Linked DNA regions of Alligator mississippiensis. The protein of the gene in region 2 interacts with the protein of the main gene of each other region in a pairwise test. Links are inferred from orthologs where the notes say so. Each region holds a gene or a part of one and is shown on either strand. Other genes may lie near its edges.

What was found.
Region 1: the proteins of KEAP1 (region 2) and LSM3 interact in binary tests that used the Homo sapiens proteins (3 or more experiments, as listed by UniProt). The two-hybrid records come from large-scale screens. The link is inferred for Alligator mississippiensis from reciprocal best matches to the Homo sapiens genes KEAP1 and LSM3.

Annotation. Positions count from the first base shown.
Region 1 is NC_081835.1:16,882,112-16,890,582, forward strand, and holds the start of LSM3 (U6 snRNA-associated Sm-like protein LSm3), read right to left. Parts: upstream 3,308-8,471; 5' UTR 3,231-3,307; coding exon 3,210-3,230; intron 2,918-3,209; coding exon 2,807-2,917; intron 1-2,806. Other genes in the region: XPC (DNA repair protein complementing XP-C cells), read left to right, coding at 3,478-3,553, 6,051-6,258, 6,839-6,966. UniProt on the Homo sapiens protein: Plays a role in pre-mRNA splicing as component of the U4/U6-U5 tri-snRNP complex that is involved in spliceosome assembly, and as component of the precatalytic spliceosome (spliceosome B complex).
Region 2 is NC_081831.1:22,436,338-22,444,156, forward strand, and holds the start of KEAP1 (kelch-like ECH-associated protein 1), read right to left. Parts: upstream 3,134-7,819; 5' UTR 3,024-3,133; intron 1,810-3,023; 5' UTR 1,731-1,809; coding exon 1,188-1,730; intron 448-1,187; coding exon 1-447. Other genes in the region: CRB3 (protein crumbs homolog 3), read right to left, coding at 5,104-5,304, 5,470-5,528, 6,600-6,675. UniProt on the Homo sapiens protein: Substrate-specific adapter of a BCR (BTB-CUL3-RBX1) E3 ubiquitin ligase complex that regulates the response to oxidative stress by targeting NFE2L2/NRF2 for ubiquitination.

The DNA of each region.
Region 1 (8,471 bases), on a different chromosome or scaffold from region 2:
AAGCACTGGGAGATGGGGCTGGGGGGAGCAGGCAGGGGATGAGGCCTGGCAGGGGTCCCCCTATGGGTCCCCCCATCTTGTCCAGCCCCCACTCCCCCAGCCCCTACTTACCAGCATGGAGTCCAGGTCCAGATACCTGCTGCAGGGGGTGCGGACTGCCTGAATCACCGAACCTCTCTGAATCTTTTCTGAATTGATTCAGAGAGCTTCGAATAGATTTGGACCTTTTAATTGGTCCCGATTTGATTTGGATTCGGAGATTTGGCTACCGAATTGGGCCAAATCTCCTCTGAATCAAATCAGTACCCAAAACTTTGCGCAGCCCTATTGGATTGTGCTGCAGCCATTCTAGGTCTGCCACTGCACAATATCTCCCAGGAAGAGTCAGGTGGGACAGTGGAGCTGTCATGCATGCCTCTGATTTTTGGCATGTCAGGGGATTGAGGTTGGGGTTAACTGGGATGGGCTACAGCACAAGCTGACCCTGCTGTCTCCTTTACAGTTATTAGAGAACCCTAACGCAGGAAGGATGTGCACTACATGCAGGGCAGTTTTACTGGATCACTTGTTTACAGCACTCCCTGAAAAAAATCTCATGGCAGCCTGAGGAACTGTGCTATCCTGGTTGACAATCACTGCTCTGAATTATCACATTGTTAGAACATCTGGTATGGAAAGCAGGAGTAAGTTCTTTTGCAAAGGGGGGAAATATGCCACCTTTCAGATGTTTCTAATCACAAGATATGATTGTGCTGCGTGCCAGGTGCAAAAATTGCCATACAACTTTAAATCAGTGGGAAGCCAACTTTTTGGCTGAAGTGTCACATGGTAAGCCCACAAGGTTCCTTGGGTGAATTTGATATCTTTTATTAGACCAACCCAAATGGTAAGCCCTGCACCCTCCCAGTCCGTCACTCTAATTCCCTTCTTCTGCCTGCTCTACTTTCTGCCCTATCTGCCACCGTGTTCTCTTTTGCCTCCCTGATCTCCTGTGCCTCATAGATGCAGCGTATGCCACTTACAACATGCATGTCAAAAGACGCCGACCCCTAAATTAAGATCATAATTTAGTTTATGGTAACCTGCATGCAGCACTACAGACAAGTTCACCATTACAACAGAAATGAAGGCATCATCTGTCTCTAATACTACCTACTGAACCAGCCTTCACCAGCCTGCAGAATAGAAGACCAAGGGGAATTTGATAACAGCCTTCAAATACCCAAGTCATGACTATAGAAATGATGGAGATGGGGTTTCTCTGTAACTATAGGGGAAAGAGACTAGGTGCAATGACTTCAAACTACGGCAAGGGAAATTTAGGTTGGAGATTAGGAGGAACCTTCCGATTATGAGGGTGGTCAAGCATTGGAACAGGCTACCTAGAGAAGCTGTGGAATCTCTGTCCTTGGAAGTTTTTGAGAGAAAGTCGGAAAGGCACTTGGCTGGGATGGTTTAGTCAGGGGCAATCCTACCCTGAGCAGGGGCTGGACTAGACAACCTCAAGAGGTTCCTTGCAGCCCAACTGACCTCTGATCCCAAGTATTTCCACAGATCTGGATAATGGGATGGAGCTGGTGTCATCTGCATACTCAAGCTGCGGGGAGTAGTAGATATGCCGGAGGGTAGGGCTAGGATTCAGAGAGACCTTGACAAATTGGAGGATTGGACCAAAGTAAATCTCATGAAGTTCAATAAAGACAAGTGCAAAACCCTGCACTTAGAATGGAATAATCCTATGCACCAGGACAGGCTAGGGGCTGACTGGACAAGCAGCAGCTCTGCAAAAAAGGACCTGTGGGTTATAGCAGACAATAGGCTGAATATGAGCCAACAGCGTACCCTTGTTGAAAAGAATGCTAACATTAGTGGGAGCACTGCCAGCACATCAAGGGAAGTGATTATTCCCCTGTATTCAGCACTGGTAAGGCCACATGTGGAGTACTGTGTTCAGTTTTGGGCCCCCAATACAGAAAGGATACGGCCAAATCGGAGAGTCCAGTGGAGGGCAACAAAATGGACAGGGGGCCGGAGAGCATGATTTATAAGGAAAGGCTGAGGGAACTGGGCTTATTTAGTCTAGAGAAGAGAAGACTGAGAGGGGACTTAATAGCAGCATTCAATTCCCTGAAGGGTGGGACTGCAGAGGATGGAGCTGGACTGTTCTCAGTGGTGACACATGACAGAACAAGAAACAACGGGCATTTATACACATACTTTTTCATGCTGCCACGCACCACAGATCCAGTGCATCAGAGCAGATTAATCGACTTAATTAACTGAGTCTGCTCTGCACACGAGCTGATGCACACCGCACTGCGTCATCTGCAGTTGTATAAATGGCAAAATGCACACCAGCACGGAGGAAATGGCAGCGGCGTGCATTTGAATGAAAACACCTTTGATGTGTTTTAGTTCAAAAGTGGACCACCGCCATTTTCCACGCTCTGACGCGCACTTCACCACTTACCCAACCGCATGCATTGCAGCATCACGTGCTTTTCAAAGCGCCCGGCGCTGTGGCACATGCATGGGTAAAAATGCCCGACGGTTTCAAGTTGCAGCAAGGGAGATTTAGGTTGGATATTAGGAAAAAGTCCCTCACTAGGAGGGTAGTAAAGCACAGGAACAGATCACCAAGAGTTGTGGAAGCTCCAGCCTTGGAGGTTTTTAAGACCTGACTAGACAAAGCCTTGGCGGGGGTGATCTAGCTGAGGCTGGTCCTGCTTTGAGCAGGGGTTGGACTAGATGCGACCTCCTGAGCTCCCTTCCAACCCTTATTTACGATTCTGTGATCTTCGCTTACATGTAATCTCCCTCTGAGCTCTCGATCGTTCCTCATTTTCACGTAGATTCGCTCATCTAGACTGAGCCTGATGAGATCCAGCGGCTCCTCTACGGTATTGGTTGTCTGTTGCTGAGAAAAAAACGAGGCGGTTCCTATTACAAGCATGAAACCCCCTGGACGTTGCGTGTGCTAATCCCCGGGGCTCGCAGGCAGAGACAGGGCGAGGACACTGCTGTTGTGTCACAGACACCCCGATCAAGCCAGCGTCCACCAGAAGCGGCAACTTGAGCAAACGGGGCATAATCCCCCGAGGGCCTGGCAGCCTGCGCCCGCCCCACCAGCACTAGCGTCCCAGCGCTCAGGCCTCGCCAGCGCGGCCGAGACACGGATGACACGAGCCGGCTCGGGGAAAGCGCCTCACCTGGTCCACCTCGTCCGCCATCTTTCAAACGAACTCTCGCGAGATCCCACGAACCCGCCTTCCACATCCCGCGGGGCTGGGGGCGTGATGACGTCACGCGTCGCGCGAGGGGAGAGGGCGTGGCCTGTCTCCCCGCGAGCCCTCAGTGTTCGCAGCTGTGAAATGGGCACCGCTCACCTCAAGGGGGCGGGTGTCTCACGGGAGGGGGGCGGGGTGCTGGGGCCGGAAGGGACGTCAGGTGGGCGGGGCTGGGAGCCGGCGCTGCGGCATGGGGAGAAAGCGCCGCGGGGTCCCGGCGCGGGAGGCCGCCAGCAAGAGGCCTAAGCCCCCGCGCGGGTCGGACGGTGAGTGCGGCGGCGGCGGCCCGGCTGGAGGCCCCGGGATCGCGGACCGTGAAGCCGGGCTCGGTGCCGGGGCGGTGAGACGTTAACTCGGGTGTGGAAATGACTGACAGCAAAGCACCAGAGCCCGACACGGCTGGATCTTGTTATATAACTGAGTGACAGACATGCCTTTCACTCTTGATGACCTCAGCACTGACGATACGATACCCTTTGACTATTTTGGGTTTTTTTTTAAGTTTTATATATGCTCTAGAAAACTCACGCGCACTCCAATAGTTATAGTTGTTTTTTGCTCTAATAGTATAGTGCCCCCCCCCCCCCCTTAGCATATTAATAAAGCGTCAAGTTTCTTTTTTGACCGGAGGGGGAAAAAAAATGTGAGTTGCATTTAGGGAAGTTTAGGTAGGATATTAGGAAAAGCTTTCGCAAGGAGGGTAGAAAAGCACCGGCACAGGTTACCCGGAGCGGTCGTGAAGAGGGAGCGTGGTGCCGTAACGTTTCCACACAGACGGGTGAGGTCCTGGATCCCAGGCATCAAATATAAAGCGTTTCCTAGTTTCTAGGGTCTGAAGGGATCTGAACGGATCACGAAGTCCGACCCCCTGCCCTGGGCTCCTAGGGGCGAGCGCTGGGATCGTTGCACAACAGATTGACCCAGAAGCCGTAGTACAGCGCTTTCGTGTGGGTGGCCTTAACTTGCACATTTGGCTGTGGAAGGAGCTGGAAGAAATTGGTAAATAGAGAAAGACTGGTCTCTCCTAAAAGAAGAAGGGAAAGTTGTGGGGATGCTCATGGATCAAAAAAACAAACAGCTCCAGGAACTGAGTGCTAGCATCCAAGAAAGTACTGCAGACAACCGGTGGGATAACCTGACCCATCGGATCTTCATCCAAGGATTTACATTATTACAGCCCTTTGCTCATTGTATTATTGATTCAAATTACAGTTACTTGTATTATACTTTGGTTATATCTGTCTGTAAAACGGTGGAAGCAACAAATGAATGAACAACCTGCCTTGTTATAATGGAAGGAAAAGAAGTAGAAGGATAGTGGTGTAGTTTTAGTTTCAATTTCTATCCTTGGAGATTTTTTCATAGATTTCATGGACGTTAGGGCTGGAAGGGACCTCGGCAGATCACCTGTCTAGACAAAGCCCTGACTGGGACGATCTAGTTGGGGATGGTCCTGTTGTGAGCAGGAGGTTGGACTAGCTCAGTGTTTCTCTACCTATATGGGTTGTGACCCAAAAGTGGGTAGCAAGAATATGAGAGAGGGTCTTGAACAAACTTTAAAAATGGATCAACAAAATGGATTCTCCTTTAAAGGAATAAAATGTGGGAAACGGTGGCTTTTCTCTTGCAGGTTGTCAGAGTTCCCGCCTGCAGCGGGCTGCTTGGAGCCCCCCATGCCCCACACATATGCCCTATGCCCCATGCCCCACGCCCCACACATATGCCCCACATGTATCACTCCTGCCCCACACACTGGGGAGCTGGCGGCAGAAAGCAGTCGGTCAGGAGTGAGGGGCACTGGGTCGGGACTGGCCATCAATGTTTACAAATGGGTCTTTGTACAAAAAAAGGTTGAGAACCACTGGACTAGATAACCTCCTGAGGTCCCTTCCAACCCTAATTTTCTGTGATCCTATGATATGATGTTCTACACCATCTGCACCCTTCTTTTCAAAATCCTAGATTTGCCCGTGGATACCAGGGGGGATATTGAATGCCAGCGGGGTGTAGATTGCTCTAGAGCTATCTAAGTGAATGCTCTCTCCCTCTATGGTAGTGTAAGAGTGATGTTGTAACTATGATGATCCAGAAATAATGCAAGAGGCAAGGATTTCATAGGGTGAGATCTTTGATTGGACCAACTATGGAGTTGGGATGAAAATAAGCAAGCTTTCACATGTAAGACCTGAGAAAAATATCTTACATGTGAAAACTTGTCTAACTTTATCTCAACTACATTAGGCCATAATCTGAAAGGTAGGTAAGCCTGCTATGTTGCATGAAACCAGATCGATTTCATACGTGTAAGATCTATCCAATTCATCATAGTAGTACATAGACGCAGCAGGTTAAGAAAGCAGCTTGCTGTTGCTTCAGGAGACTCTTGAGAAAAGGGGTTATTTAAATCAAACTTGCAAAAATTCCACTTGCCTAGAGATTTTTTTTTATGCAGTAGATGCTTCAATATGCAGTACTGAAGCAAGAATATTTGCTTTTTTTTTGTCATCATTGGAAAAGACCCAGGAATAAATCTTTTGTCTTCTGAGCTGAACTTTCCTTATAATTTTATTTCACACGTGCTTTTTGATTTAATGCTACCCATTTGTTTTAAGGATATCCTTAAAGGCAGTTTGTTCGCTCTTAGCCTGCATTTTTTGCTCCATAGAAACTCGGCCCCATTGACGTCAGTAGGTGTTTTATGGTTGATTTCAAGAGAGCCAGGATTTTGCTCCATAACACTTCTTTCCCTCTGTTCCAATTTAGATGACTTTGAAGAGGAAAAGCCTATTTTGAAGAGGAGTGTCTCAAAGGCCCTCAGTGGAAAGAAGAAGAAGAAAGAAGATGGTGACACTAGAGTTTACAGTCCAGCAACTAGAGCTACAAGCCAAAAAGAATCAAAGTCAAGAGGAAAGGGGAAAAATAACAAAGCTATAAAAAATGAAGGAAATCCTAAAGAGGAGGAAATGTGCAGGTAAGTTAACTGACTGCATCAATACAACTATTACATGTCCATTGCTAAACATGTTTACTTAACACCCAGTTCAACAAACCTCATATAGGAGAAATTTACTTCTGCTGTTTGGTACCATTCTGTTCATCATAGCTTCACATATGAGCCAAATTACTTGTGTGCATGTTCATGGGATCAAGTGTATGGAACTGAATGGGGGTGGAAAGCGTTTGAGGCTTTTCCAAGCTTAATGTGTATTTTAATTTCAGAAGGAAGTTGTTAAGGACTTAAGACCCCCCAAATTATAGTTTTTTTTTTAAATTGGAGGCATTTTATAATGCAACATAAACAGACTTAAAAATGCCAGTGAAATATTTTGTGTTTATCATCCATGTATTGCTTGCAAAGATTGTGTCCATGCTGGTATTTGTGGTTTAGGTTTTAAGTATATTCTAAGCTTTTGCAGCTGTTGTTATTGATAACGTTGTCATATTACATGTGTTCCTCTAATTAGTACAGACATTGTCCTCCCTCCACATTTTAAACAAACAAGATGATATAACCCACAACTTTGAAGTTTTTTTTTGTGCAACCTTTATAGTGGTTTACCAAGCCCCTCTGGGAACGGGAAGAGTTTGAAGAGAGAATCCACTGTTAAAAAAGAGATGGATGAAAACAATGATGGCAGCAATGATGATGAAAGTGAGGATGAATGGGAGGATGTGGAAGGTACGAATCTTTCAACATGGCCTTATCAACTATCAGACATTCTTTGGGATAGTTTAACTGATTCTGGCTGCTTTCAGTGGAACCCGTCCATCTTTATGCAGGGTCCAATAAATGGTCACAGTGCATGGCATGTGTTAAAATGCTGATCCTGTAAGTTAGGAGTGTGCGAAGCAGGCTGTATTCAATTCAGGTTTAGATTCAGCCCGATTTGGGGAACAGCAATTCGATTAACTGATTTGGATTTCTGTCCTGATTCAATTATTTGGCCGAATCCAAATCTGAAGATTCGATGCTGATTCAGAGAATCAGTGATTCAGCCATAGACACAGTTTTATATGTTTTTCTACACACCCTGAGGTGTACCAGGTGTGGCTCATGAATGCTGCAATGCTGGGGCGCATGGAGCGTCCCACAGGAACGTGGGGGGACCCCGGGTGCCCCCCAGACCCAGGAGGTACCAGTCATTGAGCTGGGGCGGGGTCCACTTCTGGGTCTGCTGCTGAGTGCACAGGGGACCCCCTGTGTGCTTCTGTGGGATGCTCCATCTACCCTAGCATCTCAGTGTTCACAAGCCACCTGATACCTTGAGGTTTGTAGAAAAAACATATAAAGCTGTGTCTATGGCCAAATTGTTGAATGTCTCTGAATCGATTCGGAGGCTTCCGATTCGATTCGGAGTGATTAACGGGTCTTCTGATTCGATTCGGAGATTTGGCCACCGAATTGGACCAAATCTCCTCCAAACTGAATCAGTGACTGAAGCTTTGCACAGCCTTACTGCATATATGGCATTCTCTGAATTATATGTAAATGTGTAGTGTCAATTGTTCTATCTGTAAAGAAATGTTGAATGAATCTAATAAGACAAAGACATTCTAGCAAGAAAGAATAGACCAGTTAAATCATTTGGCCAGATACCAGTCAATAGGCCATGAAAACAGACCATGAGAACTAGAATCTTTTCACTTCTGCCAATTTAAATCTATACCTATTAAAACAATCTCCCTATTTAAATGCTCGTGAGTCTGTGCTGTCCTTTTGAACTGATAACAAAGAAAAAGGAGCTAAATGCAAGGATAAAGCAGACAAAGAGGAGCACCAAAATTAAGATGCTGAAGTCAAGCATATCATAACTATGTGATATAACATTATTTTATATACAAAATATGGCAGAGTCCCAGACCATTATCCTAAACACAGCTGCAGTGCTGTAGAAAAGCTGCCACTTCACAGCTCTGACCTAAGTAAGTGCTGATAGAAAATGTAGTACTTCTGTAAGACACTGTGGAGACGGTTCTTGGGCTGTCATTCTACCATGGACAGTGCCCATTGCAAGTTTCTGCTATGCTGCTCTTCTGGTGTCCCTTGTGCCAGCTCTGAAATGACCCATCAGTCCTTGGCCTGTCTTCTGAAGAGGGTTGTTTGTTATAGGCTGACCTGTTAAACTGGAACAAATGAGTTTCTTGATTATAGCACGCTTGTCACTCTGAAAATGTAATAAGCAT
Region 2 (7,819 bases):
GCGGGGCACCTCCAAGTCAGCCAGCCGCAGCCAGGCACCATCGTGGGGGTTGTAGGCCTCCAGGAATCCAAGGGACTGGCGGTAATAGCCACCAACTGCGTAGATGAGCTGGCCCACCTTGGGCGTCCGGCTGGGCAGGCGCTGTGTGGGCTTGTGCAGCGTCAGGTCCTGGAAGATCTGGGCCAGGTAGTCTTGGCAGCGTGTGTCACCCTGCAGCACCTCGCACTCGCGAAGCTGTAGCTGCAGGAAGCCAGGACTGAGCGCGTGGCAGCGTACAGCACGCAGCAGTGCCTGCACATAGGGGCGCCGACTGGCGCAGTCGTAACGCACCCAGTCAATGCAGGCATGGAAGACCTCAGACTCACAGCGCACGTTCAGCTCATCCCGGCTGATCAGCGTCACCAGCTGACAGTGTGATAGGTTGAAGAACTCCTCCTGCTTTGCCACCTGTTGACAGTGGGGGCATGATGAGGACACTGGGGACACCAGCCCTGTGCATGCCCCGCCCCCAGTTCTGGAGGTATGTGGTATACAGAGGCCCAGGTCCAGCCCCCACTGCCCTGAGAAGGGGGGCACTGAGAGGACCTGAGATACCCATAGGGGCAGTGGGAAGTCAGGGCATCTTCTCTCCTGCTGTCTTGATACTTCTGTCTCTGCAGATACTCTGAGTGCTCCCGTCCCCCAGCTGTGGCCCACCTGTGCCCACGTTCCCCCATCCTGACTCCAGGCTACTCCAGCCTTACTTTCTATATGAACCTGGTTGCCCCTTGTCATGGCACATCACTAGCCCCCCGCTATTACCTCCATCATTCCCCCATTACCGACTCCCAGGAACCCAAGAGGCAGCCCCTTGCTCGGCCCTGCCTGGGTCAGCCACCAGGGGGTGCGACACTGACCAGAGCAGGCTGCATTCCACCCCAAACCAAGGAGGGAGTCTGGCCAGAGCCAGCCCCTCACCCTGGATCCTCCCAGACATGGAGTGGAGTCTGTTTCTATTGTGTTAGGGCTGTCGACTCTCGGCAACCCCGCCATGACCCTCCCCTCCCCTCCCAAGAGATGTACTTACTGGGAGCCCCTTCCCTGCCTCCCACCCCTCCTCACCTGCCCAGAGTGCATGGAGTTGTACTCGCGGCAGCCCCCTCCTGCCCCCTGGAACCCTCTTGCCCTGCTCTTCAGCCCCCCCTGACCTCCGCGAAGTGCCTGTAGATGTACTCCCGCGCCCGCTGATGCAGCTCGCTGCAGTCAATCTGCTCGGCAAAGTTGGCGATGCCAATGGCATTGCTGGGGTCTAGCTGTTGGGCCAGGAAGTCAGCACAGGCACGGACCACGCTGTCAATCTGGTACATGACGGCACCATTCATGACATGCAGCACACAGCGCTCACCCACAGCAATGGAGGCTGTGTAGGCGAACTCAATGAGACGCTCCATGACCCGTGGGTGGATGCCCTCAATGGGCACCACCTCCATGCCCTGTTCCCGCAGCCCTGCTGTGAACATGGCACGGAAGACAGGGCTGGATGAGGCCAGCACCACTTTGTGGGCCTGGAAATCAGCAGGCGGCGCATCGCGGTAACGCACACGCAGTGTCACATCGCAGAGCTGCTGGCTCAGTCGTAGCTCATTCATGATGGCCAGTGCTTGGCATGGGTGCTCATCCAGTGTGTAGCTAAAGGAGCGTGGCCCTGCCGGTGATGGTGTCACCTCTGCCTGGCACTCAGGTGCATACATCTTGGCAGCTCCAGCGGAGGTTGGCTACACAGCTAAGGACAGTACTGTGGAGCTTGGGTGCTGGATGGTGCCGTCAAACCTGCAGGGGAAGAGGCAGGGGGTTAGAAGGGGGACCTCAAAACTGCTCTCCCACTGAAACCAGGGGAAGCCCAAATCTGCCACTGTTCCCCCACCCCAGGTCCTGGAGTGTGAGGGCTACAACACACTGCCCAAAGTGGGAATAGGGGACCCAGATGTCTGGGAGGGGGGTAGGGCCCAGTAGCCAGTAGACGTGGGGGCCTGGATGCATGGGCTCATTCCTAGTTCAGGAACAGCAGTAGGACCCAGGGGGGTTGCTGGGAGCTTGGACACCTATGTTCCCCTCACTCTGGGTCCTAGATCACCCTGTCAGGTTGGTTTCTGGGAGGACCCTAAACCTGCCCCCTACCTAGAACCAGGGGAACCACAACCCTGCTCCCCCTCCCTGAAACCAGGACAGGACCTGTCTGGCACCCCTTAATCACCAGGCTGGCCTCACAGCTTTGACCTGTGGGGACACTGCATCCTGGGTGACTGGGAGTGCAGGCCCAGCAGTTAGGTGCATTATGGTAGCAGCCCCCCAACCACCTTCAAAAGACAGGGCTGTCCCATAGCCCCAGGCACTGGGCAGACTCCCCATGCCAGTGGTTCCCCCTGGGCTGAGCACCACAAGCCCTTCACTGGGACTGTTTCCCCCCCCCCGGTGTCAGGGGCTGCACCCAGGGCCTTGGCTCCCCAAACCCCCTCCCCCCCTGCCTCCAGGCTTGGGCTAGGCGCCCTGGTCCCCGTTCCACCATGCTGGAACCAAGGGGACTCGCTAGCAGGCAGGAGCAGTACCGGGCCCGTGACACAGCCGCCCTGCCGAGGGTGGCGCCTATCCCCGTCTCCTCCCCAGAGCCCTGGGCCGGTACGGGCTGGCGTAGGGAAACTGAGGCACGCTCGCAAGAGGGCGAAAACATGGGGCCCAGTGTCCCCGCACTCCCCTCCCCAAACCAGCGGAGAACCCAGGCATCCGGGCTCCCAGCTCCCCGCCTCAGGCCCTGCTCTCCTCCCACCACGGCGGACGGAACCCAAGCGTCCGGGCGGGGGCGGGGCCGGGCCGGACCCCCACTCCGGCGAGCAGGGCGCGATAACGTGTTGCACCCGAGGGGCGACCCCCACTCACTGCCCCATTGTCTGGCTCGGGGAGGGGGGGATCCGCCCTCCTCCCGCAGAGTCCCGCTCCCCCCACGGGGTCCGGCCCCCCAGCCAGGGAGGGGGACGGGGGTCACTCACCCGGCCATGGCTGCGCTGCCGGGTCCGGCTGCAGCGGGGGGGCGGGGGGAGTCACCGTGACTAAGCAGAGCGCGCGGCGCTGTCAGAATAAGAGTCCAGTCCCGCCCTCCCCAGGCCCCGCCCCCTCCGCCCCACCCCCTGATGGAAGCGGCAGCGCCAACGTTCGACTCGGACCCGGGCCCGGACCAGGCTGAAGTGCCGCATCCGCTTGTGGGAGCGAGGGGACCCCTATTCCCACCCCAGGACGGGAGGCGGCGGGGAGGGGAAGGGTGGGCGAGCGAGCTCCTAAGCTTCTGCCCACCGCCCTGTCCGGAGCTCTGCTCGCTGCTCCGCCAAAGTGGGGGGAAACTGATGCACGGGGCGCCGCCGAGGACTCCTCCGTGACTCCGGCTCTCTCCCTCCCAGGCTCCGCGCTCTACTCCCCTCCCCGATCCCCGGAGGGAATCCAGGAGTCCGGGATGGGTGTGCACTGGTGTGTGTTGGAGGTTAGACTGCTGCTGGGGTTTAGACACAAGGGGGACGGGGAGGGGTTGTGAGGTCCCAGCCCTGGGGGGAACCTCAGTGCTGAGATGCAGCCACCTCTGGGGTGGGCCGAGGGCAGGGAAGAGAGTTGGCCCCTGTCCCGGCGGTTTCCATTACCACCTGGAGCTGAATTCCACTGGGTTGAGGGGAAGGCACCATTTGCCCAGGTTTAGGGGCAGGCAGAGATCACTATCCTTGGATAAGGTAACTGGGTACTGAGCTCAGCTGCCTGGGCCTTAAGGGAGAGCAGCAGTGGCAGGTGCATGGCTAGGGGCCTGGGGTGGGGAAATCACCAGGGCTCCCCAGCCTTGAGCACTGCCCCCCCCCATGGCTGTAGGATCTTGGCCCCCTAACACCAAACCCACCCCCCATCATAGGTCCCAGTGCATCCTGGGATGGTGGAGGTGCCCTGATGGGAGGAGGTACAAAGCAGGGGGCAGTGCTGGGGGTTGGGCTGGAACCTTTGGGGCTGCCCCACTGTTGAGGGGCCTCCAGGGGTAGAAGAACCTGACCGTGCTAGGTGCTGCACCTCAAGCCAGGTCAGCAGGGTGCCCCCCCTTCCCCAGCCCCCAGTGACACTGGCCAGTAGCTGGGGGTGGAGGGGGTTCTGCACCTGTTCTTCACTTCCCTGCTGGCAAGCAGGCCCCAAGTGGGCAGGCCATAGGGGACAGGGCTCCTTGGCTCTCAGCTCTGGGACAGCAGAAAAGGATGGGGGTAGGACCCCTGCTCCAGCTCCTGGCAGGCAGGAAGCTCCCTGCTCACTTTGATCTGCTGCCCCAAGCAGGGGTAGCTGAGCCTTGTCTCCCACCCCAATACACAGCAGCAGGAAGCTATTATCCCCCTCACACCAGCCTTGGGTGGGGGGGAGGGGTCATCCCTGCACCTTCAGAGCGGGCCTGGAAGGGGACATAAGCACCGTTTCCCACATAGGCAAACAGGCATGACAGGGTATGGAGGTGGGGCCAGCTGAGGCTGGAAGAGCAGCATCCCCCCACCCCAGTCCTCCTGTGACAATTCAGTACCAAACCCAGGATTTTATTAAACATCCATTCAAAGCCATTGAAGGGGAGGGGAGTGGGGGGACAGATTAGAGCAGCATCAGCCCGACCCCCTACCCCCACAAGACAGACACAGGGGGCTGTGCCCAGGGGAGCAGGGGTAGAGACCAGTCCAGTGGGCAAGGGGCAGGACCCCACCTATTGCTTTGGCCACCAGGGAGCACAAGTCCAACCCCCACCCCGAGCCTGGACAGACAAAGGGACACTGGAGAGACCAGTGTGGGGTGAGGGGCTGTCAGGGACCCCCCTTCTTGGGCTCAGCCACCAGGGAACACTCATGGGGGCAGATCCAGCACCAGCCCCTTCTGCAGGACAGACAGACAGATGCAGGAATAAAGACCAGTCCAGAGGGGGTGCTGTCTGGGCCCCCCCCCCCTATTGCTTCAGCCACCAGGAAGCACCGCAGGGTAGCAAGGCAGCTGCAACTGTCCCCTGCCCCAGCATGGTTCCCCGTAGATGGGGGGCAGGAGTCCAAGAGGGGGCAGAAGTCTGGGAGGATCTCAGATGAGTCGCTCCTCAGGGGGCAGTTTGAGGTGGGGGCTGGGCCCGACGCGGGCACCCGCCTGCTCCTCACTGCTAGGTCGGTAGGTGCCCTCTGTCTGCCGTTTCTCCCGCAGCTTCAGCACCCCGAAGACCAGGAGCCCCAGGAGCAGCAGCCCCCCGAAGATGCTGCACACACTGATGGCTGCCACCTCCCCTGCCTGTGCCCGGACAGAGTGGGGGGGGGGGAAAAAATCAGTGGGGGGTACTGGACCCCCCCAGTTTCATCTAAGGTAGGACCCAGAGCCCACCCCCACTCCCTGCACCCAGTCCCCAGCCCGGTCCCCTCCTACCCTAATTCCCCCCCCATACCCCTTTTCACCCACCGTGAGCCCTGAGGAAGCAGCTGGACCGTCTGTGCGGTTACTGCTGGTCGTGTTGGCCTCTGGGTTGGAGGGAGGCAAAAGGAAGGAAGGGGTTAATCCCGGGGTGGGGGGGGAATAAACAGCCATGAAGAGGCATGTGCTGGAGTAACACCACCCCCCACCCCCGGCCCCAGGCAAGGTAGTGCTGTGCCTGGATCCACCCCCTCAAGATGCAACCAGCTCTGGAGTGGGGCAGCCGCCCAGGGGAACAGGAAGTGGAGGAGGCCCCCCCACCTCAGCTGGAGGCAAGCAGCGCACACCCTGCCCCACCCCAAGGGACAGGTGCCCCCAACCCTGCCACCCCCATAGAACCCAGACATCCTGCCCCCCCCCCCCCACCTCTGCCCCACCCACCTGACGTATGGCCAAAACTTCCAGGTCTTGAGCAATGGATAGGCTGGTCAGGCCTGATACCATCCTGCAGTTCTTGAGGGACCCACCTCCCTGGAGAGCCCAGGTGTCTGGCCTCCTGCACCATGCCACCCCCTGCCCCCAGTAATCAAACCATATCCCCAAAGTGGTAGAGTGGAGAACCCAGGCAGCCTGGCTCTCATGTCCCCCTGCTCCAACCCAGCAGACCCCCCCCACCCCTCACAACTGGAACACAGGGAACTCGAGTATCCTGATACCCCGCCATGCCTGGGAAGTGGGGGTTGGGTATTTACACAGGGGTCCATGGAGGGGGTCCACCTGCTTGGGCAGAGCCCCTTTGTGCCTCACCCAATTGCCCTACCCGGCCCTGCTACTGACATGCAGCCACCTCTGGGGTGGGGCAGTGGCAGCCACATAGCACAGAGAAAGGGGTGGGGGGTCCCTCCTCCATCCAGGCCCATTTCTCTGGCCCCAGGTGCAAGGCACTGTACGTTTTCTTCCCCCCCTCTCCCATGAGCAGCCCCCTAACCCAGCACCTCTGGGGTGGCCCCAAGCTGCTGCTGGCTCTGGTGTGGAACAGGGAAGCTGCACAGCATGAAGCCATCTCATCCTAACTTGCAGGGACCCCTCCAGACCCTGGCCCTCATCCCCTCCCCTCCCTGTGCCGGGAAGAGAACCCAGGTGTCCTGGCTCCCATCCCCCTTGGCTCATTCACTTACCTTGGCCCAGGGCTGGGTGGACTATGGTCTGTAGCATTGCTGCTAGCAGCAGGGCCAGCGGGGGCAGTTCTGCCATCACCCCCGACTGGGGGGGGATATAGTGACCCCCCCCAATTAATCAGCTTCTCAGGGTGGTATATGTAGCCGAGCCTTCAGTGAGATGCAGCTGCTTCTGGGGAAGACCACGGGGTCCCCAACCTGGGGAAGGGACAGGGGTCGGGCTCAGGAGCAGTGATAGCAGTGGGGGAGGATGCAGCACAGGGTGCTGTACCCATGGAGCAGAGACCCCACTACTCCCTGTGCTGCAGAGAGAGGGGAAACTGAGGCACAGAGAGAGGCCGCAGCAGCAGCACGCCCAAAGACTCCCTCGGCCCAGGACATTCTGGGATATGCCCAGTCCCCCCATCTTGATGGTCAATTTTTAAGACCGCAGAGGCGGCCCCACGCGGGAGGTAACCCCTAGCGTGCTGTCCCGCCCAGCCATGGGTGTCCCAGGGAGTGGGGGGTCTTTCTACTCCCTACACGGAGAAGAGGGGAAGAGGCACCTGTTCCCGGAATGAGTGGGCTCCAGGCTACCCGATCTCCTAGGTTCCCGACGGGGGAGGGGTTAACCCCTGCTGTACCACGGGCTGAAGGACGCAGTCCTTTCCCAAAAGCCCCCGGATCTGGAGTCCAAGCCACCCCCGGGGCAAGGGTTGCCTGGCGGATAGGGGGTGACAACTACGCCCCGCCCCCACGCGTACCCCCTCCCCACATTCACTCACCGCCGCGTTCGTCGGTCGTCCTCCCCGAGCTCCTTCGGTCCGGCCCCGCCCTTCCTCCTGCTCACGTGACCCGCGGCCCCGCCCCCTACACCTGAGACCGACAGGTACCGCCCCCCTGCACCTGGGCGGGGCGCACACCTGGCTGCCAAGGCCCCGAGGGAGGGGCTCACCTGAGAGCAGGTGCGTGCAGTCAAGCGGAGAAGCCCGGCGTCCGGGCAACTGAAGCAGGGGGAACCCAGGCGCCCAGCCTCCCCCGCCATGTTCCAGCCCTTCTCAGGAAACCTGGGCGTCCTGGCTCACAGCCCCTTCTCTCCTGCTCTAACCCCGCTCCTCTCCCAGGCTGGAAAAAACCCGGGTGTCCTGGTCCCCCGCACCGCTGCGGCCTGCCCTCCCCTGCGCTCCTCCCTGGCTAAATGCGACGACCTGAAAGTCGCCCCCTCCCCTGCTCTTCAAGCT